Linked DNA regions of Struthio camelus. The protein of the gene in region 2 interacts with the protein of the main gene of each other region in a biochemical or structural test. Links are inferred from orthologs where the notes say so. Each region holds a gene or a part of one and is shown on either strand. Other genes may lie near its edges.

What was found.
Region 1: the proteins of ACTA1 (region 2) and GC are reported together in a solved structure, tested with the Homo sapiens proteins (2 studies listed by BioGRID and IntAct). The link is inferred for Struthio camelus from reciprocal best matches to the Homo sapiens genes ACTA1 and GC.
Region 3: the proteins of ACTA1 (region 2) and GSN are reported together in a solved structure, tested with the Homo sapiens proteins (3 studies listed by BioGRID and IntAct). The link is inferred for Struthio camelus from reciprocal best matches to the Homo sapiens genes ACTA1 and GSN.

Annotation. Positions count from the first base shown.
Region 1 is NC_090945.1:7,195,034-7,205,804, forward strand, and holds the start of GC (vitamin D-binding protein), read right to left. Parts: upstream 4,520-10,771; 5' UTR 4,291-4,519; coding exon 4,215-4,290; intron 3,562-4,214; coding exon 3,492-3,561; intron 3,108-3,491; coding exon 2,975-3,107; intron 2,693-2,974; coding exon 2,481-2,692; intron 2,364-2,480; coding exon 2,231-2,363; intron 2,074-2,230; coding exon 1,979-2,073; intron 1,486-1,978; coding exon 1,356-1,485; intron 1,210-1,355; coding exon 1,007-1,209; intron 872-1,006; coding exon 739-871; intron 619-738; coding exon 521-618; intron 425-520; coding exon 292-424; intron 168-291; coding exon 114-167; 3' UTR 1-113. UniProt on the Homo sapiens protein: Involved in vitamin D transport and storage, scavenging of extracellular G-actin, enhancement of the chemotactic activity of C5 alpha for neutrophils in inflammation and macrophage activation.
Region 2 is NC_090944.1:91,453,765-91,464,583, forward strand, and holds ACTA1 (actin, alpha skeletal muscle), read right to left. Parts: upstream 4,918-10,819; 5' UTR 4,682-4,917; intron 4,514-4,681; 5' UTR 4,502-4,513; coding exon 4,373-4,501; intron 4,181-4,372; coding exon 3,856-4,180; intron 3,729-3,855; coding exon 3,567-3,728; intron 3,337-3,566; coding exon 3,145-3,336; intron 3,025-3,144; coding exon 2,843-3,024; intron 2,679-2,842; coding exon 2,535-2,678; 3' UTR 2,261-2,534; downstream 1-2,260. Other genes in the region: nuclear pore complex protein Nup133, read right to left, coding at 9,267-9,403, 10,488-10,576. UniProt on the Homo sapiens protein: Actins are highly conserved proteins that are involved in various types of cell motility and are ubiquitously expressed in all eukaryotic cells.
Region 3 is NC_090961.1:2,896,808-2,907,152, forward strand, and holds the start of GSN (gelsolin), read right to left. Parts: upstream 4,377-10,345; 5' UTR 4,248-4,376; coding exon 4,098-4,247; intron 2,885-4,097; coding exon 2,683-2,884; intron 1,683-2,682; coding exon 1,528-1,682; intron 525-1,527; coding exon 363-524; intron 142-362; coding exon 1-141. UniProt on the Homo sapiens protein: Calcium-regulated, actin-modulating protein that binds to the plus (or barbed) ends of actin monomers or filaments, preventing monomer exchange (end-blocking or capping).

The DNA.
Region 1 (10,771 bases), on a different chromosome or scaffold from region 2:
CCGTTTCGGGACGTAGGTCCGGGCGACCAGGGCCAGGCCGTCGCCGTGGTGTGTTTGGTGTTGGGGCGGGGGGGAGAGGAGGTCTCTACCGCCGGTGGTGCGGCCGCCCCGCTCTAGAGCAGCAGGCAGGGGCCGGAGTCGCACGTCTGCCCCATCTCGGCGGCCATCTGCAAAAGAGGCGAAAGGCCGGCCCGGCGTGACTTTTGGTTTTTGTCTGTTTGTTTTTCCTGACGGGCCCGCGCGGGGGCAGGCCCGCCGAGGGCCCGGGGCCGGCGGGGCCCCTCGCTTTACCTGGCGGGCGCAGTAGAGGGGCGGCGAGTTGGCCGAGCAGCAGGTGGAGGCGAAGTCGGCCCGGCGGTCGGCCAGCTCCGCCAGGCGCTCGGGGCTCGCGCCGGGCACCGTCTTCCCCAGCTTTTCTTTTAGCCTGTCGGTCGGGGCCGGGGTTGGGGGAGTCAGGGCGGAGGGTGAGAGCCGGGGCGGGGGGGGGGGCTCTCGCGTCCGGCCGCCTCCGGGGCCTCACCGCTTCTTGAAGTCGAGGAAATCCAGCTGGGCGTAGGGGCCGCACAGCTCGCTCGCCCGCTCCAGGAAGGTGGCGAGCTCGCCTCTCATGCGCTGCCGCTGCGGGCGGACAAGGGTGGAGGGTGGGTCGCCAGCACACACCCCCCCCCCCCGGGGAAAGGCCTCTGCGGAGGGTTTTTTTTTGGAGGGGTGGGTCGGGGGGGGGGGCAAGGCGCCCACCTTGCCGTCGAGGCAGGCCGAGGCGTCCTCGGCGCCGCAGCACTCCCGGATGACGGCCTCGGAGGCGTCAAACAGCCGGCCGAGGAAGACGTCCGGGACGCTGGGTTGCCGCCGCGCCAGCTCGAACGCGTACCTGGAGCGCGGGGTGGGGAAGGCAACACAACGGGGGGGAGGCGAGGCCGAGGCCACGGGGCGAACGCTCCCCGCCACAACCCCCCCGGCGGAGGGCGGGGGTGAAGCCCTGGAGGCCACCGCCGCCTCCGCTCACCTGTCGACATGACGGGCCCGGTCGGCGCCGCAGAGCTGCTCGTCGGTGGGCTGCCGGAGGTCGGGCAGCGGGGGCGACTGGGCCGCTTTCAGGGCCGAGAGGCAGAAGTAGCCGCGCAGGGCGTCCTTCCCCTCGCAGCAGCCGGCCAACCTCTCGTCTTTGGCCGCCAGCGCGCCGCAGACCTTGGCGGCGTGCTCCGACAGCTGCGGCGGGGGAGGCAGAGGAGGGCGCACGCCTGGAGGAACCCCCCCCCGGCGGCGCTCTCGCCATCGCTGCCCCCCTCCACCCCAGATCTTCGACCTCGAGCACCGGTGTCCCCCCCTCCACCCAACCCCCAGGACTTCCCTACCTTCTTCTGCATGCAGTCTTCAGCCGTCGAGCCGCAGCACTGGGCAAACACCTCGGCGGCGTCCTCCGCCAGAGGGAAGACTTCCTCAAACGAAGCGCTTGGCGCCTTCTGGGCGAGCGTTGTTAGGTAGCTGCGGGGGGGAGGCAAAGCGCAAGAGGGGGACGCGTAGGTCCCGCGGCTCTTCGTTCTCCTGACCTACCTCGTGAAGACCTGGTGACCTACCCCGTGAAGACCTGGTGACCTGCCCCGTGAAGACCTGGTGGGGGTTTAAAGCCTCACTTCCTCCCTACGAGACCCCCCCGCCCCCACCGCCCCGCTCGGTTTGCTGCACGGGTGCCGACCCGGCCAGCGCGCTGTCTCACTACAGCTTTGGCAGGGGTGGGGGGGGGATGCGACTCGCCTTGGCATATTTTTGCCCAACTGCGGGAGGAAACTGAAGCTTTGCGTTACTTCTCGAGGAGGAAAAAGGGCGCGGGAGAGGGAGCGTGGGACGCGCTCTGCTAAGCGGGCTGCCTTGCCGCGGGCCAGCCCGGTGCGCTGGCTCTCACAGCTCCTCGCTTGAGAAAGCAGAGAGGGAAGCGGGTGGCCGGGCTGGCGGAAAAGCGTCGTCGGCCCTCTTTTACCTGAACTTGATTTTCTCCTTGCCGTAGGCCGCGAAGCGGGAGCAGACCCTGTTCGACATGAGCGTGAGCATGGAGAGGGTTTTCCTTTGCAGCTTCTGCAACGAGAAGGAAACGTCTGGGGCGTCAGGCGCTCGCGGTGCCGCCGCCGCCGCCGCCGCCGCCGGTTTTGAAGCAACCTCCTTCAAAACCACGTCCGCCTCCGAAAGCCGGCCGGGGTTGGGGGCAGGGGGTGGGGGGAGAGGGACAACTCACCTCTTTCAAGAAGCAGGCGGTGGGCGCCGGGGAGACGCAGCACGTGGAGACCATGGAGAGGAAGCTCCTGGCGGAGCCCAGGAGCACGGGCAGCGGCGCCTGGCCGTAGTTGCTGGCGTACTCGTAGAGGAACCTGCGGGGCAGGTGGGCTGGCTGGGAGACCTCGCCACCGCGGCGGGCCACCACCAGATGAAGGGTTGTGGTGGTGGTGGTAGTGGTGGGGTTTCGCAGCCGGCGGCGCGGCCCTCACCTGTCAGCGAAGTCCTTGGGGTCCTTGGCGAAGGCGGCGCAGAGCTCGTCGCCGGCCGGCTCCGCGTAGCCGGGAACCTCGCGGGGCGGGTGCTGCAGGGCGGCCAGGCAGAGCTTGCGCTCGAGGCCGGTGTGGACGCAGCAGGCGCCCGCCCCGGCGTGGTGCGGGAAAGGCGAGTTGGGGTCGCAGGACTTGGCCGACAGCGCCGACGACTGCGGGGGCGCAGAGGCAAGAGGAGTCAGAGGGAGGGCGCGAGGGGTCGCCCGAGCCCCCTGTGCTGCCAGGGAGAGGGGTTGGGGGGGAGAAAGAGCCCAAAATTTAATGCACCGGGAGGGTAAATCCCATTATTTTTGGGCACGTGCCTGAAAAAAACAGGCGGAAAAGGCTGAAAGGAGCTCTGTGTAGAAAGGTGCCTGCCCCAGGCTGGAAGCTCTTTCCCCGAATTAAATGTCTCCTGCCGGCCGCCGGCCGCCGCCGCGTTCTGCTCGACCTACCCCGGCGTCGTAGCACGAGGGGTCGGCGCCCTCGGCGCAGCAGGTTTCGGCCAGCGAGACTATTTCGCGCACCAGGTGGCTGATCTCCTCGAAGGTGGCGTTGGAGAACTTCCTGCTGTTCATGACAATCGTGCTGGGAGCAAACACAAGGGGGGAGAAAGCCGCGTTTTTACGTGTGGCCTGGCCCCAGGGTGTCCACGTTGCCTTCCTTCCTTCCTTCCGCCGCCGCCCCGACGCCGGAGGGCAGGTACGGTTTTCAGAGGACGTTAAGGGCGTTAGGTGCCACCTCTGCTCTAACTCCTGGTCCTTTAGGCACCTAACAGGGGGGTTCGAGTAGGCCCAGCGAGAAGCCAACTCTTCTCCTGCAAGCCGGCCCGTTGAAAGCAAGAGGAGGCCTCCTTTCCAGACAGCGGGGAAATCTTCCTGTTTCTATGGTTTTGGGTTTTTTTTTTTTAACCCCTCCCGCCCCCTTGGTCACGGCTGATGTGCCAAAGCAAAGGTCGGAGGAGATACGTACAGGGCTCGGAAGTTGTCCTTCCCCATGGTCTTGTATTCTTGACATACTTTGTCCCGGACGTAGGCTTTACCTGTAAGCCCAGAGAAAGGGTGGGGGGTGAAGGGGGGGGGCCACGATCGACCGCCGCGGCAGCAACGCCGCCGCTCATCCGCCCGCGAGAACGGGATCGGTTTTGCTGCAGGCCGCGTTGAGTTAGGCCTTTGGCGCTGGCGTCTCTGCTGCGACCTCGACGGGACCTTGCCGGGGAATTGCAGACGGGGGAAGGCGCGCGCAGGGACGACGGTTTGATGATGTTGCCGAGAAGAGGTTGGGCGGATAAGCCCCTGGCCAGTGAAAACTCGCTTGATTTATTTTCATTTTCAGAAACCGGCGCCCAAGAAACGCTTGCGCTTTTGGCCGGGTTTTTTTGGGGGGGGGAGGGAGGGGAAGGTGTACGATGGCCTGCTGAGCTCTGAGGGCAGCAAGACTTTGCCCCTTGCCTAGTTTCGGCCCGAGGGCTTTTTTCGGGGAAACGGCGCCTGCAAAGGGGAGCAGAAAGTCTAACCCCCCCCCCCCCCCCGCCACGCCGGCAAAAGAGGCCCCGCGACGCCGTCCTCTCTCGCTCCCACCATGCCGCTCAGCCCTTACTGCAAAAGGATGATACCACCCCCCCCCCCAAAAAAATAAAAAAACCCAGGTACGCCCGGCCGTCGCACCCATTGCGGCTGCTTTCGGGGCGCTTACCGCGGTGCTCGGCGTCACCCAGCGCCGCCAGCAGCAGCAGCAGCGGCAGCAGCAGCCGCCCCAGAGCTCCCGTCATGTTGCAGTCGGGTCCCCGCCGGGCTCGTGGCGGCGCCGTTCGCCCCTTGGCTGGCTGCTCCGTGCAGAGCCCCCACCACCACCACCACCACCCCGGCCTTTATATGGAGCTACCGCGCGTCGCCCGGTGAATGATTAATGCTGCTGCCCCCCCGGGGTGGGGGCGGCGGGGGGCAGAGGCTCAGCATCCTTGGCCTGCCGGAGATAGCGCGGCCCGAGGGGCGAAGGCAAACACACGGCGCAGGGCGCCAGCGCCCCCGAAACCCGGCCGGTTTTTAATGATTAACCTTGCGAAAAAAGAGGTGCAATGGGGGGAAAGGTGCAATGCGGGGAAAAAAGAGGTGCAGGGAGGAGGAAATAGGTAACGGCGCCGGGGTGCCGGGTCGGGGTGACCGCCACCGCCGCCGCCCCGGGCGCGCTGAGACCCCGACGCACGCTGCCGGCGACCCCCGCTGAGATGGGGACGGCAGCCAAAACGCTAACCCCTCGGCGGAGCTTTTTTTTTTTTTTCTTCTTTTTTTTCTATCTTTTTTCCCAAATCTGCAGTTCTTACAGAGTAGCGGCATGCCGAAATGCGATGCGGCTTTCTTTGACGGTCAGAAGACTTCACAAGCCATTAGACTGCTTGATTACTAGGTGCCTGGGGTATAAACCCAGACGATAGGTTATTTTGGTGTAAACACAGATTTTTTTATTTTATTTTATTTTTTCTCTTCTGACTCCCCTCCGCAATTTAAGCTGCAATTTCGCAGCAGCGCGCTGGAGAATCACCACCCGCTCGGTGTATTTTTTGCAGAAACGCAGGGATCTGTTAAAACACACTTAAGAGAGGTGCTCGTAAAAATCGCTGCGAAGTGGGGGGGGAGGCTCAACAGCTGCTCCAGCGCTGCAACGGGATGCGAAAACCAGCCGGCGGGCTGCTGCAGCCCTCGCCCTTCCCAGCTGCCGCGAACCCTCTGGCTCGGCGCTTGTTTGCCTGCCTGCAAGCGCGTCCCCGCTCTGCAAACAGGTCAATGTGCTCCCGCCTGCCCTCCCGTCCCTTTGAACCACTTGCCCAATCGCCCACAGTGCAGCTAATGATTAATTCGGCCCAGGATGCGTCGTTGTCGCCGTCCCCCCCAACCCAGCTGCCACCGCCACCACCACCACCACCACTAGCCACCAGCCACCACCACACCCAGCCACCACCACCACCGCACCCAGCCACCACCACCACCAGCCACCAGCCACCACCACCACCAGTCACCACCACCACCACCAGCACCGCCAGCCACCACCACCACCTGCCACCACCACCAGTCACCAGCCACCACCACCACCAGCCACTACCACACCCAGCCACCACCACCACCACCACCACCAGCCGCCAGCCACCACCACACCCAGCCACCACCACCACCACACCCAGCCACCACCACCACCACACCCAGCCACCACCACCGTCACCACCAGCCACCACCAGCCACCAGCCACCACCACACCCAGCCACCACCACCACCACACCCAGCCACCACCACACCCAGCCACCACCACCACCCCCCGGCTATTTTGGGTTCTCATCCCGCCCTCAGACAGGCTCGAAGCTGCTCCCACATTTTTCTTGTGATGTTGCCCCACCACACCGACTCCGCGATGCCCGTGACACCCAGGCCAGCGCTGCCTCAGCCTCCGCGGTGGATTCGCTGGGCTGACGGCTGAGGGGAAGCATTGGTAAGACCAAAGCTTCTCAACACGTTTCGCTTGGCTGGACCCTGGCTGGAAAAGCAAGGGGTTTCATCTGACTTTTCTGTTTCTGTAGGACCCCTTGGGCTGCCCCCAGAATGACGTGACCTCCCCGTACCTTTCCTGCCCTTTCAGGGATGGGGGGGAGCAGGAAGACGACACGCGCTTGCTGGGCGAGCGCAAGGCTGTTGAAGAGCCGCAACTTCTCTGTCTCGGTTTGTTTTTAATCCATCTCTTAATGCAGTCCCCTCTGCAGCTGCATGGATATACTGGATGGCTGTGGGCAGCTAAAACTAACCATCGCACACGCTTTCTGATCAACGGGGACAGCAATAAAAGCAGAAAGGGCAATTACGTTAATGGTAAGGACTTAAGCAGCAAAGCGCAGCCCTTTGGGTAATGAAGAACAACTTCAGCCAACAACCTCCGGCGCTTGCACCACGCATTAAGGGCTTTTCATCAGGAAAATACCCAGAAGATGAAGATGGGGAAGAAAGAAGCCTGACCGTCTCTTCCCCTCCTGCTGCTAAAGAAACCCCTGGGGCCGATAACTCAGGTGACGTGGGTTTGTGTCCTGGCTCTGCCACGCGCTCGCTGAGTGACCCTCGGCAGCTCGTGCAAAGCGCTCTGCCCTCTTTCCCCATTGAGAAAGCGGAAAAGGAATTTGTTCCCCCCCTGCCCCTGCCTTTTTTCCAGGGTGCAGCTCTGCTTGCAACCTGCAGTGGTGCAGGGCAGCACCATAAGTCCAGCAACTGCCTTGGCGGGTCCTGCACCCTCGTGTTAAATTGTTCCTTCCCAGACACCAGCGCTCCTGTCCTGAAGCTGGCCCTGCCGGGAGGTCGCACCAGAGCTTGCAGGCATGGCCCAGGCACGCTGTCCAAGCCTGAAAACTGGCCAAGGCTCACGTCCCGAGCAGGAGAAACTCCCAACCGTGCCATGCTTGCTTGAAAGTCACTCCTAGAAGTCAAACTTAAGCAAGCTGAGCCATCCCGTAAGTTTTCTCATTCGCCTTTCTTAGGTCCATGTGTCCCAAATGCCCATATTTTCTCTTGGGAGTGTTTTAGAGCTGTGCACTGTCTCCTCAGAGCTAGCTTTCCGTTTGCCCTTTCTCCCCGCAGAAGTCCTCTTCTAGCTCTTCAAAGCAGAACCTTAAAAAAAAAATCTCAATTTTTGAGGAATGCCAATTCTTACGTTTTTAGGATTTACCCACCATGGCCCCTGATTGGAAAGAGCAGCTCATCGTTTGCTCTTGCTGCCCAGGCACGTACACGCACAGCCAGTGACGAGGGAGCACCCCCCCCCAAATGTGCCTCCTGACCTGCTGCGTGGAGCAAGGGACACAAGAGGAGGATGAAGGTCTTCTGCAAACGGACTCAAAAAGCTCTTAGGCTGTTTTGAGACGTGAAGGGACCCGCTGGTGGGCCGACCACCTAGGACAAACCTAGGCAGGGGATAAATGGCCCGAGCAGGCAACTCCTCCCCGCTTGTCTCACGAGTGGAGATGCGGCGCGTGGGGAAAGAGCCATCCCACCCAGCAATTTAGCCCCGAGCGGCTGGACCAACAGCTGGGCTGATTCCCCTCTTGAAATGTGAAGGGGGGTGTGTCAAGATGATGAGGCCAATCTTCTCCGTGGTGCCCAGCGACAGGACAAGAGGCAACGGGCACAAACTGAACCACAGGAAGTTCCATCTGAACATGAGGAAAAACTTCTTCACTGTGAGGGTGACAGAGCGCTGGAAGAGGTTGCCCAGAGAGGTAGTGGAGTCTCCTTTGCTGGAGACATTCAAAACCCGTCTGGATGTGACCCTGGGCAATATGCTCTAGAGGACCCTGCTAGAGCAGGGAGGTTGGACTAGATGATCTCCAGAGGTCCCTCCCAACCTCAACCATTCTGTGATTCTGTGAAACCATGTTTTATGAGCTTAAGTGCAGGGACAGGTCAAGGTCACTGGAGGTGTCAGGGAAAGTGGAGCTGGGGAGGGGGGCAGAGGTGCTCGGGCGACCACGCGAGCAAAACCATTCCCTCGGACGCCGACTGGCCCCCAGCCCACCCGCCCGCCCCGCCGCCCGGCAACGGCCCCTGTGTGTGGTCGGCGCGCCTTCACAATGCCGGTGGCGTGAAAAGGGGGCTGCGCCACCCGCCCGGCGCTCACACGGCTCCGCGGCGCCGGCGCGGCCGGGCGAGACATGGTGTGCGGCCCTCGGGGCCCGCTGGGCGACTAGGCTGCGGCGGCCATGGCGAGTCACAGGGGCGCCGAGCAGGCTGCCGGCGGCCACCGCCGGGTCCCCCCCAGCAGGAGGAACAGACGAAATAGGAAATTCTACGACAAACCGCTGGGCAAGAAGAAAGGTGACGGCGGCAGCCGGCCCGGCGCCGGGGCAGGGGCAGGGGCAGGGGCAGGGGAGGGAAGCACCGGGGCCGCCGGGGAAAGCTGAAACTCCTTCGACGGGTGGACGGGTTGGGTGAAGCCTTCTCCTCCCCAACCCCGGCCCCGCCGCAGGCTTTAATTCGCGGCTGCGCGTTTCCCCGGCAGGGTACGTACGCGTCTGCGCAACCTACTACTACTGGAAGAAGAGGTGAACTCCCGTGACGCGGGTCCCACGTGCGTCCTCTCCATCCACCCGGCGAGGGAACCGCTGCCACCACCACCACTGTCGCCGCCGCCGCCGCCACCCCCGGCCTCAGAGCAACCCAAGCAAACGAGCGGCGATTTCGACCAGCCGAGACACCAAGAAGAGCTCCACCAGCAGCCTGGCCGGTGCCCAACGGGCGTCATCAACAGCAGCGGTGAAAACCTGCCAATAAAGTCCTAGAGCGCAGCCGTGGCGCGTGGCGTGCTACCTGCCGGAGGCTCCGGCTGCTACGAAACCCGTCGCTCCGGGCCGTAATATAAGGTCTAGAAGGGAACCTGCCCGGGGCAGCCCGCGTTTTGGATGGATCCTCGGTGAACCCTTTCTTCTTTCCAAACCGCTCGCCGACCCTCGGAAAGCAGAGCTGCTAACGCGGCCGCGGCAACGCTTTGTCCTGCGGCCTCGGCGTCCCGCTCGAGCGCCTTGGCGGCTGCTCAGACGTTAACAGAGGGAAATAAGTCAAAAAAGCACAATGGACGCGTCTCTCAGAGGCAGGCGGGCGGGCGCGCGCACGGGGCTCGGCTTTGCTTAGGGCCGTTGACTCTTCAGCCCCGGCCACAGTTGCCACAAAGCGTCTAAAGCCCTTCTAAAATTTTATTTCGATCTGGCAGGGGTGCTTAATAATTGGGTTGGGTGAAATGAGGTGTGGAACGAGAGACGGGTTCTTCCACCCTCCGACCCAGCGCTACGGGAGGTAACGTCACTTGGCTAACTACCGTGCGAGAGGAAAGCCGGTTAATCGACGACAGAAACCGCGCGGGCTGGGTGGGACGGTCCGTATCTGGTCCGGATGCAGGCTGACAACCAGAAGGGTAACGATAACTCCCCAGGCTTCGTTACCGTAGCAGGCTCGTTAATAATGCCCCAACGCTCGCTTATGTGCAACCCAGCACTTTGGGGTTTTCTTTTTTTGTTCACCTTTTTTACCTCCTTTTTTTTTTTTTGGGGGGGGGTGCTGCTTTTGGCCGCAGACGCCGGCCGGCCCCTGCTCACCTGTGGTTGGGGCAGCCCTGCAGGTGCTGGCGCTTCCCGGCTGAGTAGGGAGCGATGAGAAAAGGTCTGCAGCTGGGGCTGGCCCCTATTGGGCCAGAAGGGCTCTGCTGCCCTCCTGCTCCTCAGTCATCTCTCTAAATTTGGGGTTTTTTTGGGGGGGGGGGGAGGGGGGCAGGCAGGGGGCCAGATGTGTTGGAGCATCATGCTGCTGCTCAATACTGTGAGCTTTGCCTTGATCTCCCAGTGACTGACTTTGGGGATGGGCTGGTGGCCCCTGGTGCGTGTGGGAACCTCGGGGCGGGGGGTCACTGCAAAACCTGATCCATGTGTTTCTGTTATTTGCCATCTCATGTTTTTACTAAGCGTCCTCAGCGTATTCTCCTTCGGTTTGTGGCTTGCTGCGGGTGGCCCTTGCTCGGGGATGTGAAGCTGCCGGCTGGGCCGTGAACCCCTCTGCTGCCCCCGTGGGATGTGAGAAATTCCCCGTCTGCTTCCTCCAAGCGCGGAAGTGGGACAAGGCGTGGGAAACCGTGGGCCAGCGCTGTGCCGCGAGGGCTGCGGTGCCGCCCCGGCAGCCCCAGAAACGCTCGAGGATGGAGCCGAGCCAAAATCCCTGCGGCTGAGCCAGCGCCTCGCTTGTGACGGTCATCGCGAAGAGCATCGCGTTGCGTCCATCGAAGCCACGCGAATAAACCAGTTGCTCCACCAGGGAGCAAATCAGCTATTTACTGGTCAGAGGGATCTGGCTCTTTCGTTCAATAAAATCAGCTCAAAGGGAAGAGCTTGGGAGCAAAAATGACCATCGGCTTTTTAAAATGATGTTGGCTTTGGCTCGCTCGAGAGCTGCGTGTCACTCCCCTACCGCTAGCGCGGGGACCCAAAGTCGTGCTCCAGGGCGCTTCCCAGCACCGCGTCAGGGAGCCGTGGAGTCAGAGAGGTGCAGGAAACCGTCCGGCAAGTGGAGAGAAAAAAAAAATGGCATAATGGGAATGAAAAGCAGTAGCTGGTGTTCGGCCACAACCCGCCGTTGACTCTGCCGGGGGTCCCGGACCCAAGTTACGCCGTGCGTCGTGGCAGCAACCCTTCTCTGGGAGCAGATCATTTTCCCAGGGGGCTAATTTTCCCCTCCTGAGCG
Region 2 (10,819 bases):
GGGGTACACGAGTGAAACTTCCCAGACACCGTCCCAGCACCGGGACTCGTGAACCATGGGTAAACTCAACTTATCTGTTTCCAAACAGTCTTTAATTTCTGAAGGCCCTGAATCCAAATAAAATACAAATTTCAGGTTAATTGAAGTGTTTTGTTTTGAAATTAAAACCTGAAATAGATTAGATTTCAAGGACGTGTATTTCAGGTAAAATCAAAAATGAGTTATATCTCAGTGCATTGATTCAGCAACCAAAACAACAAACTAGTTATTTTTTTCAGCTGTAAAACTGCGCTTTTCGGCTCTTAACGTCAACAGGAAGAAATGGGAGCCTGCTCTGAATGATGGGGAGCACTATGAGAAGAAGGGCTGCCATTGGAGGCAGGGGATAGCAAGGTGCCAGCAGCAATATTAGCCTTTCTGTGCAGTGCAGCGCAGGGCACACGCGCCCCGCCGGCTGCCGGCGGGATGCCCTCTGCCCACAGCTACTCTGTCCTAAACCGACACCAGGCATCTGCGAAATCCGGGTATTTATTCAGAGGCAGCAAGCATCCTCCGTTCCCACTGGGTTTGATCAGGGTGGAGGGAGGGGTGCATGGCTCAGCACCACTTCCGAAAAAAAAACAACCTATTTACTGTGGGTTTAGGACCCTAACTTTAATCGTAGAAAAGCTGAGTCTGTGTGTGGTTACCCCACAGCGAGCACCGTCTTATCCAGAGGCTGCTTTTCTAACTTAACTTTTATCTGCTCTTCCAAAAACAGCCTTTTAATCTAATAACAGGAGCTGGACCCAAAATCCATCTCATAACACCACTTAAGCCACGGTTGAACCCTAGATCGGGGGTCGAGTACTGAGGCCTTTACATCCATTAAGCATCTCGCCAAATCCCAGCAAAGAGCTGTCTGTTTAAATACGTGCCACTGCACAAGAACTTATAAATACAGAAAGGAAAAGGTCGTGAACTGTCTTCTGTGTGTGGTTTTTTAAGAAGCAAACGTGCCTCTGCCTTCCTGATCCCTGCTGTTCGGAGCGAGATAACAGCTCCCGGCGCTGCTCCAGGGCCTCCCTGCCCCAGGTCCCAGCGAAGGGTCAGGCCAGCTCCTTCTGCAGCCTTTTCCTTCAGCATAGGGCTTTAGGGTTTATTTATGTACCAGCCAAAATGCTAAGCAAGTGTGCCCTTAACGTAGTCGCAGGAGAGCAAAACCCTCCCTGGGCTGCAAGTTCAGCCGCAACGCATCATTTTCCCAGCGCTACCGGCTCCCACAGCAGTAGGAACCCGGAAAAACGCCACAAAACGCAAGCACCGCTTTCCTGCCTGGGCCCACCGCCCCAGCAGGAGTCCTCCTCCCAGGGCTGCCGGCCCCTCGCCTGCGCCCGTCCCGGGGGGCTGTGCCAAGCCTGGCACCTGGCGCCTGGCGGGGCTTCGGGGCGGCTCCTGGGAGCAAAGCGGAAGGCAAGGGAGAGGGGAGGGGCGGGGGGCAGCTTCCCAACCTCCCACCCCAGAAAGGGTAGGCAAACACCCGCGGCAAGGGGGAGCCCTCGCAGGTATTTCTCCATGCGGGAGCCCCTGCGTGAGGCGTCCGGCCCCGGGCCAGGCTGGTCTGGGAGGGCAGAGGAGCGGGGATCCCGGTGCGGCGGCTGGCAAGGGCGAGCGTGTCAGGCAGGGTGAGGAAGTGGCCCCGGGTGCCCTCGGCCCCGCGGGCTCCCCGGGGACAGAGCGAGCGCAGGCGGGTTTCCCATAAGCGGAGTGGAAAGCTCTTTATTTAACCCGTACCCGCCACCTGCCCCCAGCCCCAGCCCTGCCTCTGTCCATCAGGGCTTGGAGCTGCACAGACAGGCCAGGGCTACTTTTTTGGCAGGCTGAGCCACATAAAATCCTTTGCCAGCCACAGCTGAGTCAGGCTCCAGGTAACCCTTTCCCCGCGGCACCCAGGGGGAACACATCGGGTGTGTGTTGAGGGGGGGAACGATGGCCACCCTGCAGGAGCGTGGTGCAACACACGGCCACCCCAGGGCTGCTCACAGCAGGACCGGACCTTCTCCAACCCAAGCGAGCCAGGCAGGGCTGTCTCCAGACCAGGGTGGGTCCTGCCCCCCTCCCCTGTCCTCCTTCAGCTCCCTCCACCCAGTGCCCTGGTCGCTGCTCTCGCCCCGGCTTCCCACCCTCCCCGTTAAACCACGTGGGGATGCAACAGGCGACGTCAGTGAGTGACGCAAAACTGACGGAAGAAACCAAGCAAATGATGACAGAAACAACTGCATCGGGGGCGTGACAGAATGACTGATGATTTAATGCTTCTTGAAGTTTTTTGTTTCCTTCCACAGGGCATTGGTTTTAAAAACAAACAAAAGGAGGTAAAATAAATTAATTTATGTACACTTTACATACACCGTGTCACGTGGAGCTTTGCAGCAACGGTAACCAGAAATCGTTACAAAATAGAAAGTTACATGGCTGTTGCAGGTCCTCAGCAGCCTGCAACGTACAAGGTCGTCATCCTGAGCATGGTTGGCAAAGTGATCATGTAAACATGTTTAGAAGCATTTACGGTGGACAATGGATGGGCCAGCTTCATCGTATTCCTGCTTTGTGATCCACATCTGCTGGAAGGTAGACAGGGAGGCCAGGATGGAGCCACCAATCCAGACAGAGTACTTACGCTCAGGTGGGGCGATGATCTAGAAGAAGCCAAGAAAGAGAGGAGATCAGCGAACAAGCACCCGCTGCGGTGACAGGCGCTGCCTTTTCTTAGGGCTGTGCACAGCTCCACCTGCTGTCTGCAGGAGGGGAAGAGGGACATCCCCGGAGGTGTGTGCCCGGGTCTCTCATGTTCCAGTCTTACCTTGATCTTCATTGTGCTGGGGGCCAGGGCTGTGATCTCCTTCTGCATGCGGTCAGCAATACCTGGGTACATGGTGGTACCCCCAGACATGACGTTGTTGGCGTACAGGTCCTTCCTGATGTCAATGTCACACTTCATGATGCTGTTGTAGGTGGTCTCATGGATCCCTGCAGACTCCATACCTGGCAGCAGGGGAGGGGGGAAAGGCAGGCACAAGTTAGGCACCAAGTGAGAGCTCTGCGGCAAGACTCAGGAGGGAGGGAAGAGCTGGTAAGAGAGGAAAGAGGGGAGGGGGCACACACCAATGAAGGAGGGCTGGAAGAGGGTCTCTGGGCAGCGGAAACGTTCATTGCCGATGGTGATGACCTGCCCATCAGGCAGCTCGTAGCTTTTTTCCAGGGAGGAGGAGGAGGCAGCAGTGGCCATCTCGTTCTCAAAGTCCAGCGCCACATAGCACAGCTTCTCCTTGATGTCGCGGACGATCTCGCGTTCAGCTGTTAGGGGGGAGCAAAGGCGTCAGTGATTGCAAGGGGGGAACAGGGCATGCCCGAGTCCCCCCCCACGGGTCTGCAGGGACTCCAGCCCCCTCCCTGACCATATGTGTGTTCCCAGCTGGGAGCACTCCCAGAGCTTGCCAAGGAGTGAGAGGTGGCAGCACCCCTGGGGGTGCAGGGGGTGTCTGTGGAAGTGAGGGGGGACATGCCGGGGAGGGAACAGTGCTTACCTGTGGTGACGAAGGAGTAGCCACGCTCAGTCAGGATCTTCATCAGGTAGTCAGTGAGGTCCCGGCCGGCCAGATCCAAGCGCATGATGGCATGAGGCAGGGCATACCCTTCATAGATGGGCACGTTGTGTGTCACACCATCGCCAGAGTCCAGCACGATACCTTGGAAAGCAAAGAGCAGCACCTGAGACGGAGCTCACAAATGGCCTTGCACTAGGGAGCAGAGCTGTAGGGGACCAGTCCTGGGTGTCCCCAGGAGAAGGGTGTCCTGTGGGACACTTGCACTCACCAGTGGTACGGCCAGAGGCGTACAGGGACAGCACAGCCTGGATGGCCACATACATGGCGGGCACATTGAAGGTCTCAAACATGATCTGGGTCATCTTTTCACGGTTAGCTTTGGGGTTAAGGGGGGCCTCAGTGAGGAGGGTGGGGTGCTCCTCAGGGGCCACGCGCAGCTCGTTGTAGAAGGTGTGGTGCCAGATCTTCTCCATGTCGTCCCAGTTTGTGATGATGCCGTGTTCAATGGGGTACTTCAGGGTCAGGATACCTCTCTTGCTCTGAGCTTCATCCCCTACGTAGGAGTCCTTCTGACCCATACCCACCATGACGCCCTGCGGGGCAAGAAAAGGGGGTGCTCAGCAACCTCTCCGCGGGACTCCCAGGCGGGCAGCGAGCTCCCGCTCCGCGTGTGCGGAGCCACGTGGGGCCGAGCGCGGGACGGGGCAGCGCCCAGGGCACCGGGCGCAGGTCCGCGGGAGGATGGGCTTGGGGGGGTGGGGGGGGAGGGAGCAGCAAGACGGTACCTGATGGCGGGGGCGGCCCACGATGGAGGGGAACACGGCTCTGGGGGCATCGTCCCCGGCGAAGCCAGCCTTCACCAGGCCGGAGCCGTTGTCGCACACGAGCGCGGTGGTCTCGTCCTCGTCGCACATGGTGTCGGCTTTCTGCGGGAGGGCAGAGGGGCTCAGCCGCGGCGGCGGGGATGCCTGCCTCTGCCTCTGCCTCTGCCCCTGCCCCTGCCCCTGCCCCCGCTACCCACCCCCGACGGCGCGGCCCGTCCGCCAGCCCGGGGGGCGTCGAGGGCGGCCTCCGACGGCGGCGGCGCTGCTTACCTAGGGCGGGCTGCGGGCTCGGGGCCGCTGGGCAGGGAGGGCTGCGGCTGCTGGCCGGCTGGCTGGGGGGTCGCGGCCGGCCCCGCCGGCTTTTATGGGGGCGGGCGGGCGGGCGGCGGCCGCCCCCAGGAATGCGGCCCCGACCGTCTCCATATTTGGGCGTCGGGCCCGGCCGCGGCCCCCGGCCCCGGCGCTGCCCAAACAAGGCGCTCCTGGCCGCGGCCCAGGTGAGAGAGGCCCGGCCGTATAAGGAGCGTCTGCCGTGGGCCCCCCCCCCGCTCCCCGCCTCCTCCCCGGCCAGGGCAAGGGGCCGGCCGCCAGCCTGTCCGAAATATCCCCCGGCACCCGCCTGGCCCGTTAAGGGCAAAGCAGGTGGGAGGCGGCGGCGGCGGCGCGGTGGGGCAGGGGCGCCCGGCGGCCGCCCGAGGGGACGCGCCCCGGCCCCGGCTCGGCGGCTGCTCTAGGTGAAGCCTGCGGGCCTCAGCCTCGTCACAAGGTGCTCACGGGCTTTAAGAAGCGGTAAAATCCTTACAAAGCTTCGCCTTTTTTTCCTAGAAGTGCCGGTGCAGGCTACCTCCCGGGAGGGGAAGCGGCGCGAAGGCGTAGGCGAAGCTGAAGTGGAAAGGCGGCTTCGTGGTTTCCGTGCAACACCCGCCCCTCCGCGTGCCTTCCAGGTGCGGATGGGGTCGGGCTTTATGTTTAGCCCATGTGAAAGCCACAGCTTTACACGCTAAGTTACGTGTTTTTTTCTTGGATGTGATGTAAACACGGAAAATAAGCGTGCAGGATAACGACAGTTAGTCAAACGCTTCAAGAGAAACCTGGGGAAGCATTCATGCCCGGGACTGTGCTGATCCCAAAAGCCTGACGCAGAAGTGGATGCTGGTGCCCTTACCGGGTGCCCGTGACTGGACTGCTGAGCTCAGCCTGGCCGGCAGCAGAGGCATCCTGTGTAGGTATCACACAGCAGCTCACCCTCCTAAAAGGCAGTGTGGTCTCACAGACAAGTCATCTCTGACCAGATGCAGGCACTGTTCCTCAGTAAAGAGGGACAATCCGTTTCCTTCAGCTATGGATACTTAAGCAGAGATGCCATGTGGGGAGACCTGGAAGATTTCATACAGAAATTCTGACTACCAACGGAAAGAAGCAGCAAGGCGAGGAGGTAACGCAAGTAGGTTTGCAACTTCCCCAGCAAGCTGCTGCACATCAACCTTCAAGACTTTCTCTGAAGGTACAACTGGCCAAGGGCAAACCCTTTTGAAATTTGGTGAAAGGAAGTCCGGAGAGGAGGAAGAAGAAATACTAAACCAGAAACATTCTTGCTGCAAGGAGTCTCCTGAAAGCAATGGCATTTCAGTAACTGCGTTTCCCTCACTGCAAGGCACAGCAGAAGGGTCAACAGAGAAGGAGACGGCTCCTCTTCTGATAATTTCTGCATCCCCTCGTTTGGCAGCACGCCCCTTCACCGCTGGCTGCACCCTGTTTTGTTCTGCTATAGATTGCCGTTTGCTGTCTTGTTACTGCATTACAGCACACTGGAGATAAAATATGCTATTTTCTCATGCTGTTCTTCAACTTCTTATTTTATTCTTCAAGTCTGTCATCTACAACTGACAGCACAGAAATTGAAAGCCTGAAAGCACTTAAAGGAATCACAGCCATCAAATCTATGCACAGAACTGTAACGCTCAGCCATCGAGTCTAAAATACAGCGAGTTGTGTTGGTCAGATGTTGAATTTGAAATCCAGTGACGTTTATAACAGAATTCCTGCCTGAAACATTAACATCACTGAAAAACATTCTTAATGCTCCTTTCAATGAAACCTGACACAAGCATGGATCTACTCTATCCCTTCAGTTTCTCTGAATTCTCCCTCTTCCCAAATACAGTTTACAGCAAAATGCCTGATGGCAATGCTAGTTTCTTACAGTTCTGCCTAAGAGATCACTTTCTGCAGGGAGCTCTGATATTTAATTATGCTCACTAAAACAATTTGATTTTGGTCATAAGTCACAAAGCAATTGAAATTAGTTTCCAAGAGAGAGCGGGGCACAAGGAAAATCTTTTCTGAAACTTGTCACAAATCACAATTTATAAACTTTCCTGCTGCTCTAGTGACAATTGAGTATAGACCTGTGGACATTTTGTACTGTGTATATTTTGAATTAATGAGAAAATAAATATTTAAGAAACATACAACTCCTTATTCCAAAGGAGCCATCTATGCTCCTTAAACTCTTTTAACTGAAAACTGGGTGTGTGGGTGTTTTTTCTCCCAAACCAGCAGTAATTTATTTACTGTTTGTTACACTCGGAAAACAATTTAGAACTATTGTGTAGTCTTTGATACGTAAATGAAGGCATCTTCCCCATACAGTAATTTGAGAAGACAGTTCTGTAAAAGAACAGGTTGTTACGTAATGAAATAACGCGTGGGGAAGAGGAATAGTCCAAAATCTCAACCTTTTCAAGCTTCGTAACAGAGTAGTGAACCAATTCAATATTTCTAGTACAATAACATTTAACTTCAGTTTAGGCATGGAAGTTATTTTAATGAGGTTTTATTTAAGTAAACTCATTGCCTGTAGCCTTCTGTTTTGGCAATAGTCAGATGAAAGACATTGTACAAATGCCAAGTAGCTCCTAACCCAGCAGCAGAATAAAACAGTAGTAGTGAAAACTATATGGCTGAGTTTCCTGAGAACCTGGAGAAATCTTTCACGCTGCAGGGAGCAAACATCTGCCAAATAAGCCAGACACCCTGAAGCAGATCTGTAGCTGAGGATTATCAGAAACATGTACTTCCCCAGTTTTCTTCGGCTTACTCTTGCCGATCCTCACAGAATACAGGTGGTCAGCAGTCTAGGAAGGTGAGTTGGAGAAGGACAAGATATCCCTGAAGTGTTTTACTGCGGTCAATCAAGAGCTTTCTCTTCAAGTAAAATTTGAGCGTCCAGTAAAAGTTCAGCCGCGGAACATATATCAAGGGGTGCCAATCATTTGTTAGATTATTTATTTCTCCAGAAATGTTAAGTTTGTCAATCAGCTGCAACAACTTTTAAAAGCATATTTTAAAAAGCATGTGGAATTCTAGGGCTTTAAAGGATTCATTTGTTTGAAGCCACAGCTAGGAGTGACGGCCACGCTTCTGTGAACCATGCAAGACGGCAGAACAGCAAAGTTTGCGTCTTAGAACAACCTTAGAAGAGGACTGCTAATGCATTTCTTTCCCTTATTAGTTAGAACCTCTCTAGATAAATCTATTCTTCCAAACATGTTCAGACTCTCTGCCCAGCTTACTGTATTAGTACAGGGAGGAGGGGAAGAAACGGAAGGGGAGCTGTGCTTTTAAAACTAGAAACTGGATTCTCTTCAACCAATTTAACTTCTGACCTTCTCAGCTGTTGGATCAAGTTGTTGCAGCAGGCACGCAGCCAGACAAGTAAAACATAAGGGCATGCAAGTTGCTCTGTATTCACGCTCTGGCTGTCGAGCTACTTGCAAAAGAAAGGTGCAGCTTGTCATATTAAAGTCACTTTAACTGAATTTTAGATTTAAATTGCTACCAGCAATTTAAAACCGAAAAGTTATATGGTATTTTTTTACCACCATGTTAGAGATAACTTACTGGGACCGGGGAAGCAGTAGCATCAACTAGTAAAGAATGAGTCACCGAGTAAGGAAGATCATGCTGGACTCCCACTTTGATAGCTGCTTTCTAGGTTTCCTGAGAGCCTAGGTTCAAGCAGTTATGGTGAATGACTGCGCGGTAAGCTCTTAACTCCCATTGTTTTAGCTTTACTCTAAAAATCTGAATATAATTTATATGAACATTACAAATGGAAAAAAGAGTTGAAATGCATTGAAAATGTAAGTAAATTTAAGTTCACGTATATAACCTGGAAGAATGGTGTAGTGGCTGGACCACAGGGACTTTGAATGAGAACGGGGCTTTCTTCCTAACTGTCACTGGCAAGCTGAGTGACTTAGGACAAGACGATTATCCTTTTCGTGCCAGTATTCTTTAATGCAAAGTTGAATTTACCTAGTTCCTATGGCAGAAGATACTTCAAACTAAAGGTGTTCTATCAGTCCAAAGTATACAAAAAACCTTGAGAGCAGAGTTATGTTACAGAATAATAATTTATTTTCTAAATAAGCTCAACAGTCATGCAGCATTAATGTTTTCAAGTATGTTCTTCTGTGAAGACCAGTGAAATGAGTGCAAAAGATTCCACCTTCTTCAGTGGGTCCCAGGTTTCACCCTTTGTATCTGTGCATCTTTAGCCCTCCCAAATGCTGAATGAAGATATAAAGTAGGAAGTTTACAAAGGTACAGAAAATGGAAAAAAAAAACAAAAAAAAAAAAAACCAACCCTTTTTCTTTCACCTGAAAACAAACCACCACCACCACCCCACGACTGGAGTGTAACATTTATAAATTGTAAAGACCAAGCACATTACTATATATAAAGTTTATTACAAAGTTTTAACAAAATAAGAACAGAATGTAAAAAAAGTATACACGAATTTAACAATCCTTTAGAAAAAAAATATTAAAAAAGAAATAGTGAGATTCATCATGCTTGTCCCTGAACGTAGAGTTCGTAGTTTGCCTTTAACACAAATTCGAAGTAAGGATTAGATTTCAAGTTGCCAAGTTCGTCCGCTTGCAGCAAGTCTTTCACTTCTGGCAAGTATTCACTTAACTGAACGCCTACAAAACAAAACTTTTCATTATAGAACTGATAAAAATACTTAAGTGCTAATGCAAACACCTGTGCCTGTCTCAGTGAAACTACTCTCTGGAACTGAGAAGAGTTAATTCTATTGCGCATGTCAAGAAATACAAAACTGGTTATTCTGCAAAACTAGGAGTCAAAATTCAAGATTCAAATACTTCCTACCCAAACAGAGCTTCTCATAATGATTTAAAAAACACGGTGAATTCTATGAATAAACCTAAACAATCCTTAAACCTAAGAAATTTAAAACTTAAATCCAAGCCACGTAGCACTTTGGGGGAAAAAAAAAAAGACAAGAAAAAGAAAAAAAAGTCATGAAACAAATACTCCTACAAATACTCCTAATGTGGGTTGCAACATTTCAAGTTGGGCTGTGGGAATCTTACAGAAGGAAAGAAACTGATAGGATTGAAAACACAAAACTAGAACTGTTTTGAAAAACATTTATGATGTGGAACTTTTCCAGTTCTGGAAAAAAAAAAAAAGAGTGTATAGTAATATTAACACTGAATTTCTTTGAGTCTTCTAAGCTACTTAGATTTTTTTTTTCCAGAGTCTGTAACTTCTACGGCCGTAACCTTCCTTGGTCCATTTTACCTTAACGGGGGTTTTGTTTCATTTTTGCTTTTTCTTGGGGTGAGGGAAAAGGGGGGGGGAGGGGCAGGGAAGAACATTCAAGCTAAATTAGAGTAAGCTCTTTTAAGTGACAGACCATTAAATCTTAATCTCTTATTTTACAGAATATAAGCATTTGGTTCCAGAAGACATTTTATTGTGTGATAACAAACTGCTGAAAAGCTGACTGCTGCCCTACTGAGCAAGTAATTTGAGGATCTACTGAGATTATAACCAAGGAATCTGCTAGTCTTGCATCTCCTTATCACTTCATAAGAGAAGTGATTCTGTATCTGTGATTGTAATTACATACTGCATTGCATGCGGAAGTTTTTATTGTTCTGAGAAATTATTTATCCTCCTCCTTAGGTATTAGCTGTTCGTTTTAAGCAGCTTTAAAACGAAACAAGTTCAAGAAGTTTACTTTTATTTACATTTTACCTTCTTTCAAGAGTTTTTGTAATATTTTCACAAATATACTATCTTTAGATGCTTCAATTGGATCGTCTTTACCTTCTGAATTGGACCACCTGCAGGTCACAAAAAATAAATTGGGTGAACAGTTGAGCACATGAAATAAAACGCAACACTAACAACAAACGACACCTAGGAAATTTGACAAATTATCCAAGATGATTAATAAATGTTCATACAGGAAGTGTTATATACTTGTCTACAGCTCAAAGCAAGAGGTTTTTCTGTCCTGGGTTAGTTTTTCTTTATGTCAAAAGTAAAACTGTCATGTAATTACATTACTATAAGGTAATCGAGTT
Region 3 (10,345 bases), on a different chromosome or scaffold from region 2:
TTCTTCCCGTTCTGATCCATCCTCCACCACATAGACTTTGGCCCGGCCGTTCCGCTCGTTGTCCCGAATTCCCTTGGCCAGCACAGTGGCCTTCAGCCGTTCTTGGCGGTTGCTGTTTGAGCCACACCATTGATAGATATCCTGGGGGGAAAGACAAAGACCATGCAGCTGCACAGTGTCAGAGCCTAAAAGGATGAGATGGCTGTATGGCCAGGCCTGAAAGATGTTAAAATATTGGCTAAATAATGTTTCAGAATGCTCAACACTTGACATCACTTCAATTTTTCTTCACATACTGATTTAGTCAGACCTCTCTCCCAGCCCTGAAAGTTCACTAAACCTGTCTTTTACATGGTACTTACACTGCCAAGGTCAAGGATGAAACAGTCCCCAGTGTTGAAGCTCTCCCAGGTCACAGGGACCTCAGTTGCTCGGACTGTTCGCCTGCCTTTGACCTGAAGAAGCCTCTGGACAGCTACTTCATTGGGAACCACGTGCCTGAAGCCAGAAGCCACACCACCAGCCTAAGGGAAAAAGAAGAAAATCAATTCATGCTTGTGCTTTTACTCCAGAAAGAACTGAAAATCCTATTGATTTGCTATCTGTGAGCATTTTTTGCCTCTCTCAGGAAAGAAGGCCAGCAGTAGCTTACAGAGGGAGTTAGTTTGCCCCAGTCTGGGTTTTCATATATCAATATATCCATCACCCTGCAAATTTCTGTGGTATCTATTCTATGGGACACTGATACAACACAGTTGGAGATCTCCAGATTTGAAGAGGATGATGAAAGTTGAGGTATTTGTAGGGTTTTGACTGCTGGGGTGAGAGGTGCCTGACTACCAGAAACTACCTCATTATCAGTATTCACTTTCTCTGCTGATAAAGAGATACTTGCAAATTCCTTGTCCACTTAGGCAATGGGACTAACGTCAGGACTACATGTAAGTATTTTGCAAGAATTTGACTTGGTATCAGTTTCCTTGTGCCGCTGGATTCCTAACAAACATAACTATTCCTGACCATAAGCTTCTACTTCTTCTATTCCATTTTTACTGCAATGGGATGAAAGAGTAATTCCCACACCTATTCTTCTACTTTACCAAAATATTATGAATGCCAGGGAGGTGGGCTGAGCACACAAAAAGAGATGGGAAAGGTCAAACTCTGTTCGGTAAGTGGGGAGAAATTATTAAATTACTGAGTAGGCGTTTCCCATTAACTCAGATTGCTGTTTCTTAAATTAATTCCAGACATCTTGAGACTGTTCTTTCCTCTGCTTCTCAAAGGAAAACAAAACTCTGATTTCTAAAATTTCCTGGGGCTTTGCTTGTGTATTACTAATTCAGCCAAAGCTCTCCCATTGGGATCTGCTGTTCTCCACCCTGTCAGTTCCAACTCATTGAAAACATCTGGTCAAGAGTGGGTTTTTTTAGCAGCTATCAAAACGGCAACTCTTCTTCTTCTGAAGATGTCAATCCTTGCAGACTTGATTCAGTTTGGCAGTATAAAGAGCCAGTGATTGCCTACCTTGTACTTGATGCCAGATTTGAAGTACCCCAGGAAAGTTGAGGACTCGTGGCCTTGCACTTCACGATGCTGGACAGCCTTCCCCTGAAGGTAGTCATCCATCTGGACAGTGAATATGGCAGCTGCCCCACGCTCATCTTGAGAGCTTTCATCTCCTAAGAAATGAAAAGGCAACAGCTTGGAGACAATGTGAGGTTTCTGCCTCTTATGTTTAACCATGCAAAAATACTAGGGAGAAAGGAGATCACTGGAAAGCTTAGTTTCCAGAAAGGTCTGCAGAATAGCCATCTCCAAATAATGACCCCAAATAGCAGTACAAACCGTATATTTTGCTGGCAGGCTCATTACACCATTGTAACTGCTGCAGCCCCACTGAGGAACCACTGCTTTACAGCTACGTCTTTGATAGGCATCATATACTCTCCCTTTACTTTTTCACCTTGTCCTGGAAGAAAATTTGCTAGAGGCCAAATGCACCAATCTCCAAATGCAGCTGAAGTAGCAGCAAGGTGTTGTCAGGCTTTATGAAGGCTATAGAGATCAGTGGGGCACCAAGTTCCACATCAGCTTGCCTCTCAGGTCTACCAGGCGTTCTTTAGTGGGGAAAGGCTACTGGCAGATGGCAGACATGACAAAACACCATATTTGTATCCTACATTGCTTTGACTATAACTTGTTCCATGAGTCTTGGTTTTGCAAGATGTGGAGAAAGCCTTATCGTGTAACTCACTTACTGCAGAAGGCCAGTCAGCAGGTTTAAATTTCAGGAAAAAAAAAAAAAATCCGTTCTGAGCCAGGAGGATAATTACTGACTACTGATCTTTCAATAGAAAGATTTCAGTAGCCTCCTTCATCTGAGACCTCACCTTCTCTCTGGACCTGACAGTTTTGGAGAATAGGGATGTCTTCTGTCATCTTGACCAGAAAAGCCTTTCTTTCGGCACAATGCAACTTCTAAGTACAGAGATGGCGGCATTTACGATTGCAGAAACCACTTCAAATATTTAAGGTGAGTAGTACTATATGCACATAAAATTGCATTCTCTCTATAGCTATTTCCTCTGGTAACCCTTACTGGGCAATGCTAGACTAGTGAGAGGAAGAGAGTTCACTCTGGGCTCCTGGTTCAGTGAGGGCACTCCCATCAGACCTTACCTAACCAGAAATGCAAGTCGTACTGGAGGTTCCCACTCCGCTGCTTGATGGTGTTCAGCACAAGGTAGGAATCTCCTGTGAAGAAGTCTCCATACAGATTTTTTGGCACTGGTACCAAATCAAATTTCTCAATCCGCCAGATCTGAAGGCCAGGTTCCTTCCCAGCCTTCAAAAACTCGGCGTGTTCCACCATGCTGACAGGCTAGAGGCAAGACAGAGAATGTTGTTCAATAGGCACAGTGCACAGAAGCCCTTGTTTAGATTATATTGCCTCTGATCTCTTAACTATTGTTCCAGGCAACAAGTGGAAATTTTCCTATTTTCTCCTGCGTTGAATTTTACAAAAATCTCTCAACTGACCACTGTTAAACTTCCATTCAGCTCTACTTCCTGACTTATTGCTCCCTAGACTCTCCTTTCTCCATTCTTTGTCGGTAAGTCTACCTCTGTTGATTTTACTCTATATATTACATTTTCTTTCTTTTCTAATCTATAGCTTTTTAATAGGGCAGATAAATAATAGACAAATTCCCTTGCTGACTCTTCTTTTCTCTAAACGTCGCATGAGTTCCAAGAATCTAGGAAATAAACATACTCCCTTTAACTATACATGTTGTATACCTTGCACAATCTTTATTTAATGTTTCCTAAAACATAGATAATCTTATCTGTCTCTCTCTGGAAAATGTTATGAATATCATCACAGAGTTAGATTAACATGTCTCTCATAACTTCTCTGTTTATAATCCTGGCACACATTACTTCAGTACTTCTACATAACTGTTCTCTTCTAGGAATTACGCTAATATACATAACATCCTGTCCTGAAGGACATTGCAATTTTGGTTTAACACATATATTTTCATACTAATGCCGTATATTAACAATATGCATTTTAACAAATGTTGGGGGCAGTTTTATATAACTATACTGTGAAAGAATTCAGTCTGGTAACACCTAAAGGAAATAAAACACTTTAGTAGTATTGGCAAAGGGAGTTTGTCCACATATTATAGCATGCCTTTGAGTGATATCAGATAATAGGGAGGAAAAAATTAAAATGTTATATTAGAAGTATACAGTATTTTGACAAAGAAGATAGTTCATAGTAGCTGATGGACAAAAGTACAATATGCTCAGCTTTCAAGGCAGAAATAAAGAATGTTACAAACTAGAAAGCAAAATAGCAAGTTAGCTACTAAACAGATCCCTAAACTGAAATCCGATATCAAACAGACAAAGATGGAAAACAGTGAACTTACTGTTTTGATTCCTGACAGCCTGACTTAATTTCTCCCTAATTCCCCCGACAAAATTGGACAAAATCCTTACAAAGAGTTAGAAAAGAGTGCAACTCTTGCAAGTAATTGAAAAACAAAAGTTTTTCAATGTTTAATTGCAATGTATTCACTTACCACAGCTGAAAGCACAACAGCTGCTGTAACGATATAGCCAAGCCCTGCAACAGACACGGAGCTAACACAGTTCAGCTTCAGAGCCATTGTGCAAAATACAGTGAAAAATATATAATTGAAGTCTTGTTTGCACTGCAACTTAAATAGCATTTCTAACAGCAAATGGGCTTCTCCCTTCTTCTGCAGAAGCTGTAGGGAGTCCTTCCTTCTCTTGCTGTTAATGAAGATGCACTGCAGAATCCAGTCTTTTATCACATACAAACACACCCACTCCCTCAGCAATACAGGGGCGTAGCATGTTTGTGCACACGGTCCTCTTGGAAGCCTCAGATACTAAATCTGCCATTAACAGAGGCTTAAACCCAACAGGCAATAATTCAGGACAGTATGCTATCCATTATAGCCAACAGTGCAATTATGTTCAGACAAGCCAAATATCTAGTCAGAAGGCCAATAACAGAGGGAGAAATGAAGGGACATCAGCAACAGAGGCAACATTTTATCAGCTGAAAGCTGCAGATAAATGGAAAGCTGATGAGATGCAGAGGAATAGAAAGGCTGTTCAGATGGCAAGGAGCACAGAGAAAAAGATTTTGGAAATGAGAAAAAGAACAGAGAAGAACTGAAAGGATACAGCAGTATAGTATAATCTATATAATACAATCTGAGGATGGAAGGAATATGCCCTCATCTCTCTGAATTTGTCAAGAGTGGCAAGAAGCAAAATTCAGTATGTGCTTTGTGTGTCTTGCACCTGGATGCCATCTCCATACAAGCTTGTATCAGGGTGGAGGGGTGAGAGAGAGACCAAGGTATTTCAGCTCATGTGTTACCAAGGGAGCATTAGTAAGACTATGAGGCAGGTGAGAGAACAAGAGCTAATTCAGTAATTTCACAACCCAGTGTTACTGAGGCTGCATCGAGACCTTGTGACATGACTCTAGCAGCCATCAAACCTTTCAGTTCAATGGAACTACAACAGTATGCCTGATAGTAGCACGCTGAAGATCTGCCACCAGCAACAGAGCCAGTAAAGCGCTTGCTCTGTCCAACTTTCATGCACGTCAGCAAGTAAATCTATCGCATTTCCCAAGTGTTTTAAGTAAACTGTGCAGTACGAGTTGTATACCATGCTCCACTGTGGCATCTCATGAGCAGATAGCCATACGCTCTTACTAGACAGCGGAATAGAGGTACCAGCAGCAGATCCGTAACACCGTGTCTGCCAAACACTGCCCAAGAGTTGCTCAGACTTGCTCTGTGGTGTGTGGCTATGTACATCCTAGAAGGTCAGACAGGAATACCAGGAGGAATGTGACTAATGCCTACATGTATTTGCATTGCTGGTTACACTTTTGCTCTTAATGCGCATTGGAAAGAACTACTGACAGTCTGAGCTTCCTGCTTTCATAATCTCTCAAAAGACGGTTAAATAAGGGGCCAAATCCTTCACCTATTTAAGACCATAACAAAGTTTCCACAAGGGAAAGATCAGATCCCCTTTTCTGTGCTTTCTCCTCTCTCCATGACGATATTTTCTCTCTTTCTTTGTCTCTCACTAGGACATACTGTTTCTTTCTCTGTTGTCCAACCTCATGCATTGTGTTTTGACAGTTCATCCTGGCAAACTCTGTTCTCCTTAATGTACCTCTGACAAATTTCACTGCAATTTCTCAAACTGAAAATAAATAATAAAAACAATGTATTTGTCTTCAAAGTATTTCTGATCTCTGTGAAGGAAGTTCAGAGTGCCAGAGGTCTGAAAAGCAGTAAAAAATTTTGGAACCCTAACTGTGCACTGAATCAGTTCTAGCAGTCCTCAGAAATCAGCTGTGAACGGCTTCTGCAGCTGTAGCATACCCAAAATAAGATCACTGGATTGCATAACATTAGAAAGAGATGGGTCCCTTCCAAATGGAAAAATACTTTTGACTTCTTATTAATAAATATGTGTACAGTGCCGAACTTAGCAAAATTTGCAGAGTAGGTGTGAAGACCTAGGATAATTTTCCTTGTTAGCATCCCATTTTAGGGTAACTTCACACAGGTATATGCTCATAAGCATGTATGGTATTTTGGAAAAAAAAAAAAATTGGATTTGGCCTTCTAATTAACTTGGCATTTGGTAAGTTTTGCCTTCAATCCAAGCTTGCAATGTCAGTTAGTTGCAGAAGGCAAACACAGGCAAAAGAAGCAAAGAGGACTACAATGAATAAATTGTATATTATAGCGTTCTTTGGTAAAGATTCAGCTAAAGCATGTCAGGAGGGAATAAGTGTAATATACTCCCACAGCTGGTATGGTCTATTACTGTTGTCAACAAATGTTGTATTGTTAAATCAAGCCACAGAAATCTGTGCTCTGGATGTTTTATTGGTGGCATACGCCAGATGCGATTACAAGCACCATACCGAAAAGGATGTGCTGTCGGCAATCATGGGAAAAAGGCAAATTTCAAGCTGATGTTAGTAGAACTGTCCAGCTTAGTCACAGAAATGGTGCTATGCAGAGCCAACATCTTATGCAAAGAAAAGTTATTTAAGGAAAAAAAAGAAAAGGGCTTGGAAAACAGGATTTCAGTGCAGATGGATCATCTGAACGAAACTTGGCTGTATAGCAGTAAAAACAATAATTTAAGAAAAAAAGTGCAGTGTTTTGAGCAAACAGCAGAAGGCAACAACTTATGTTATCCAGATGTGTGGTTAACAGAATGATGACAAGCCAATCTGAGAACATCTTATAATGGACACTAGCCTGTAGAAATAATTACAGGTATACATTCCCTACTTAGAACACAGAACATGTCAGACATGATATGCAAGGGAAGCTGACAATGTGCAAGGGACTCTGGTTGTCTCAGAGCAATGGCATAATTTCTAGATTGGTTTTTCAATAAAGTATTAGATTATCTTCCTGAGGCTGGAAGCTGTTCACTTCAGAGAAAAGGCCAGAAGAGTCAGGGAGACCCTCTGCTCCCTGGTCTCTCTCCTCAGCTCCCTGGTCTCTCTCCTCAGCCAATGTGATGTTGCTACCTTGCTGTATATCTTCTCTGTTATGGTGTTTTTAAAAGCCCTGGTAGAAGCCCCAGCAGATGCTTCTACTGCCTCCTGTCTGAGACTTGGTAGTTTTCTCTCCCAGTATCCAATCCAAAACATCTTTCCTATTTCTACCTTGCCCTCTGTAATAAACACTTCTCTCTGCCTCCCTCCTTCCTTAAATATTTCCATTTGTGTTCTTTACATTTACCTATATGGCTGTGCCTCCTGTTCTCCTGTCACGGAGTCACTCTACCCAAGACTTGTACTTTCCCCTCATAAACTATCAGCATTTTCACCATTTGTCTTTACATTTTTCTCAATTTGTTTCTGTTAAGAAGGTGCCTGGTTCTGGACCTGATCAGATGTGGCTCCACCTGAACTATAAAGAACAAACCTGCCCTGTTCCATTTCCAGACATATCTGTAGACAGAGAGCCCAGAATCATTTATTCTTTCTGTCCCCATCGCACTGCAAAGACAATTAAAGGGAACAACTAATGTCTAGTTCTCCACATCAAACACGCTGCCGCACCTTTGCGCCTACCGCCATTTAAAGCGTCTAATAATGCCATCTAAAGTATTTTTTTAAGGAGGCAGTATCATCCAGTACAGACAGAAGAGAAGAGAAAAATCTTTCTTCTGTTAGGCTCCAGACCAATTCCTACTCAACCTCAAACATTCAGAGCAGCTTACCAAAGCTGAAGGAATGCACACATTTTACCAACACATCCTCAGATTTCTGATACTGCCAGAGCATTTCCGATCACAGAACGTACAAAACAGCAATTTTTGAAGTTTTTTTAATTAAAAATATATTAAAGCCAGATTAAATACACTGGAATGGATCTAAATATTTATCAGCCAATTTATCTGTATGATATAGCAAAGATTAACATATAGGGCTTTCCTCACAACACTTTGTACTCTGCTGCCTCTAAGACTATAAAGAGAATATATATATTTTAACCCATTAAATTAAGTTTCTGGATGCTTTTTTTCTGGATACTTACTGAAGATGTGCAATTGGAAAAGAAGAGGTGAAAAATAATTGGTAAAAGTGGATGAAAGACAAAACAATTGCAGTAGTTCATTTAAATAAATTCAATTGAAAAAGGGATTATGTGTTGAGGAGGAAAAAGATATTTTAAGTGAACGTCTACAGGAAACAGAAACCCAGAATTCTGACAATTTCACTAACAGCTTTCTGATTTAAAACAAAGAGTGTGTTGGGGAGGCTTATTTTTGTTTGTCTGACAGTGGAGAGAGAACTCAGCTCCTTTACATTCAAAAAACCCCTATACAATATTTTACTCTTCTTGTAGCTTTTATTCAGTAACCGACCACTTATGAGAGAAAAATAAATATACATTTTCTTTGAGGATAACATTTTTCTTTGGAGCTGCAGTTAAACTGTGGCAATGCACACATGTATATACGCACAGATACAGTAAGGGCTTATCCACACAGGGCTTCTCAGGAAAGCTTGACTGAATTAAATGAGACTGTGAAATAAACGGCTGTAGGACAAATCACCATATGGTTGTTCCCATTTACAACTCAAGTGTCTTTAGTTCATGATAAGCTCAGTTAATTTGTCTTAACTTCCTACATAAAAAGGCCCACGCAGGAAGGTCTGCAGCCAACATAATAATACACCATGGAGCATCTAAAACACCTGCTGCTTACTTCTGGAACCATTCCTGCATTTCTAAACGGCAAAGGCTGTACTTTTTATTTTAATGGATTATACTTGCAGAGCATCAAATAACTGAGTTTCTAAAATATGGAGTGAGCAGTAAATCTTAGTATAGACTCTATCCAAACAGCCTTCATGCTGCAAAAATCCCTCTTGTGCACCAATCCTTATTGCACCCTGGAGGCAAATGGTTGCATTTCCATCCAGCTAATTCTCTCCTTCTGTCTGTTTCAGAGCAGGCTTAGATTTACAGCCCTAGATTTGCAGTGTCCTGCCCTGGGTACAGAACACAACTGCATATTCCAGGGTCTCCCGCCTCCAGGAGCTCCGTGGACCTGACGTGCCACAGCTGCCATGGGGAGGGCCTGGCTTCACTGCCTCCTCATTCCCTTACCTGCAGCACCGGGAGTGTTCGGACGTCAGCTCCAATGCCTGGGACAAGCTTTCCCCCTCACTCTATCACTGGTATTACATAGTCACTATTTGCCAAAAATTGTCTGCAGAATATGGACTGCTCCAAAGGAATAATATATCTCCTCAGAAAAAAAGAGACTCCATTGTCTGATAGTATTCAAGACCTCCTCTATCAAGCACCAGGAGGATAAGTAAATTGCCACTGTATTTTTGCTGCAACAACAGGAAAACCGTAAGTTGCTGTGGTTTGCAAAGAGCAAAGTTAGATCGTCCTGCTATCGTGATCAGCCCTAATTAAATCAACAGGTTGTACTTGTGGCAATAACACACCCAGTTTAAGAGCTATACGCTCCAAACTGCTGCCCGAAATGATGCCAAAGAAGAGGTCAGACATATCACAAAGCAAGCAATTTGTTTGCTTTAGGTTTAGCTATTTCTACACTGCGAAGAGAATCTACTTTTTTGACCTTAAGTTTTACTTAATTAAACATTATTTGAGTCTTAACTTGCAAATCAGTGGCACATGGAAAGTATGCCACTTAAACAGCCATTTCTTTTTTTCTCTAATCTTTGGTAGACCCATAAAAACTCTGACGAATTTACAAAGAGTGTGAGAATACACATTACAGAATCATTCAAGTTCTGACAGTAAAAAATCGAGATGTAACATTGCATAAAACAGAGACAAAAAGACAGTTCAGCGCAGTGTTAACAGCTGACGACAGTGCATACTTAAAAAGGAAGTGCTTGTCTACTTCTTACAGCCTTCTTGCCAAAATAGTATATAATATGACTAACTCTTCAGTAAGCCACTGAAAATAAATTCAGCTCTGTTGCCAAGGTGACAGGCATTGACAAATACCTAAAATGACAGCCAAAATCAGTCTTCAGATAGCTCTGAATTCATATACACACAAAACTAAAGAAAAGCCCCTTTCCTTGTATCCCCTGGAGAAGCTAGTAAACAAAGTATCTTTGGAATGAGAAAAAATGGCACAGAAAAGCCTCCTCCTACACTACACATACTGCCCCCATAAGGTATTTCAGTTCTCTCTCTCTGTGAGGAGCGGTATAGTTAATGGCATTCCTAGCAACCATATC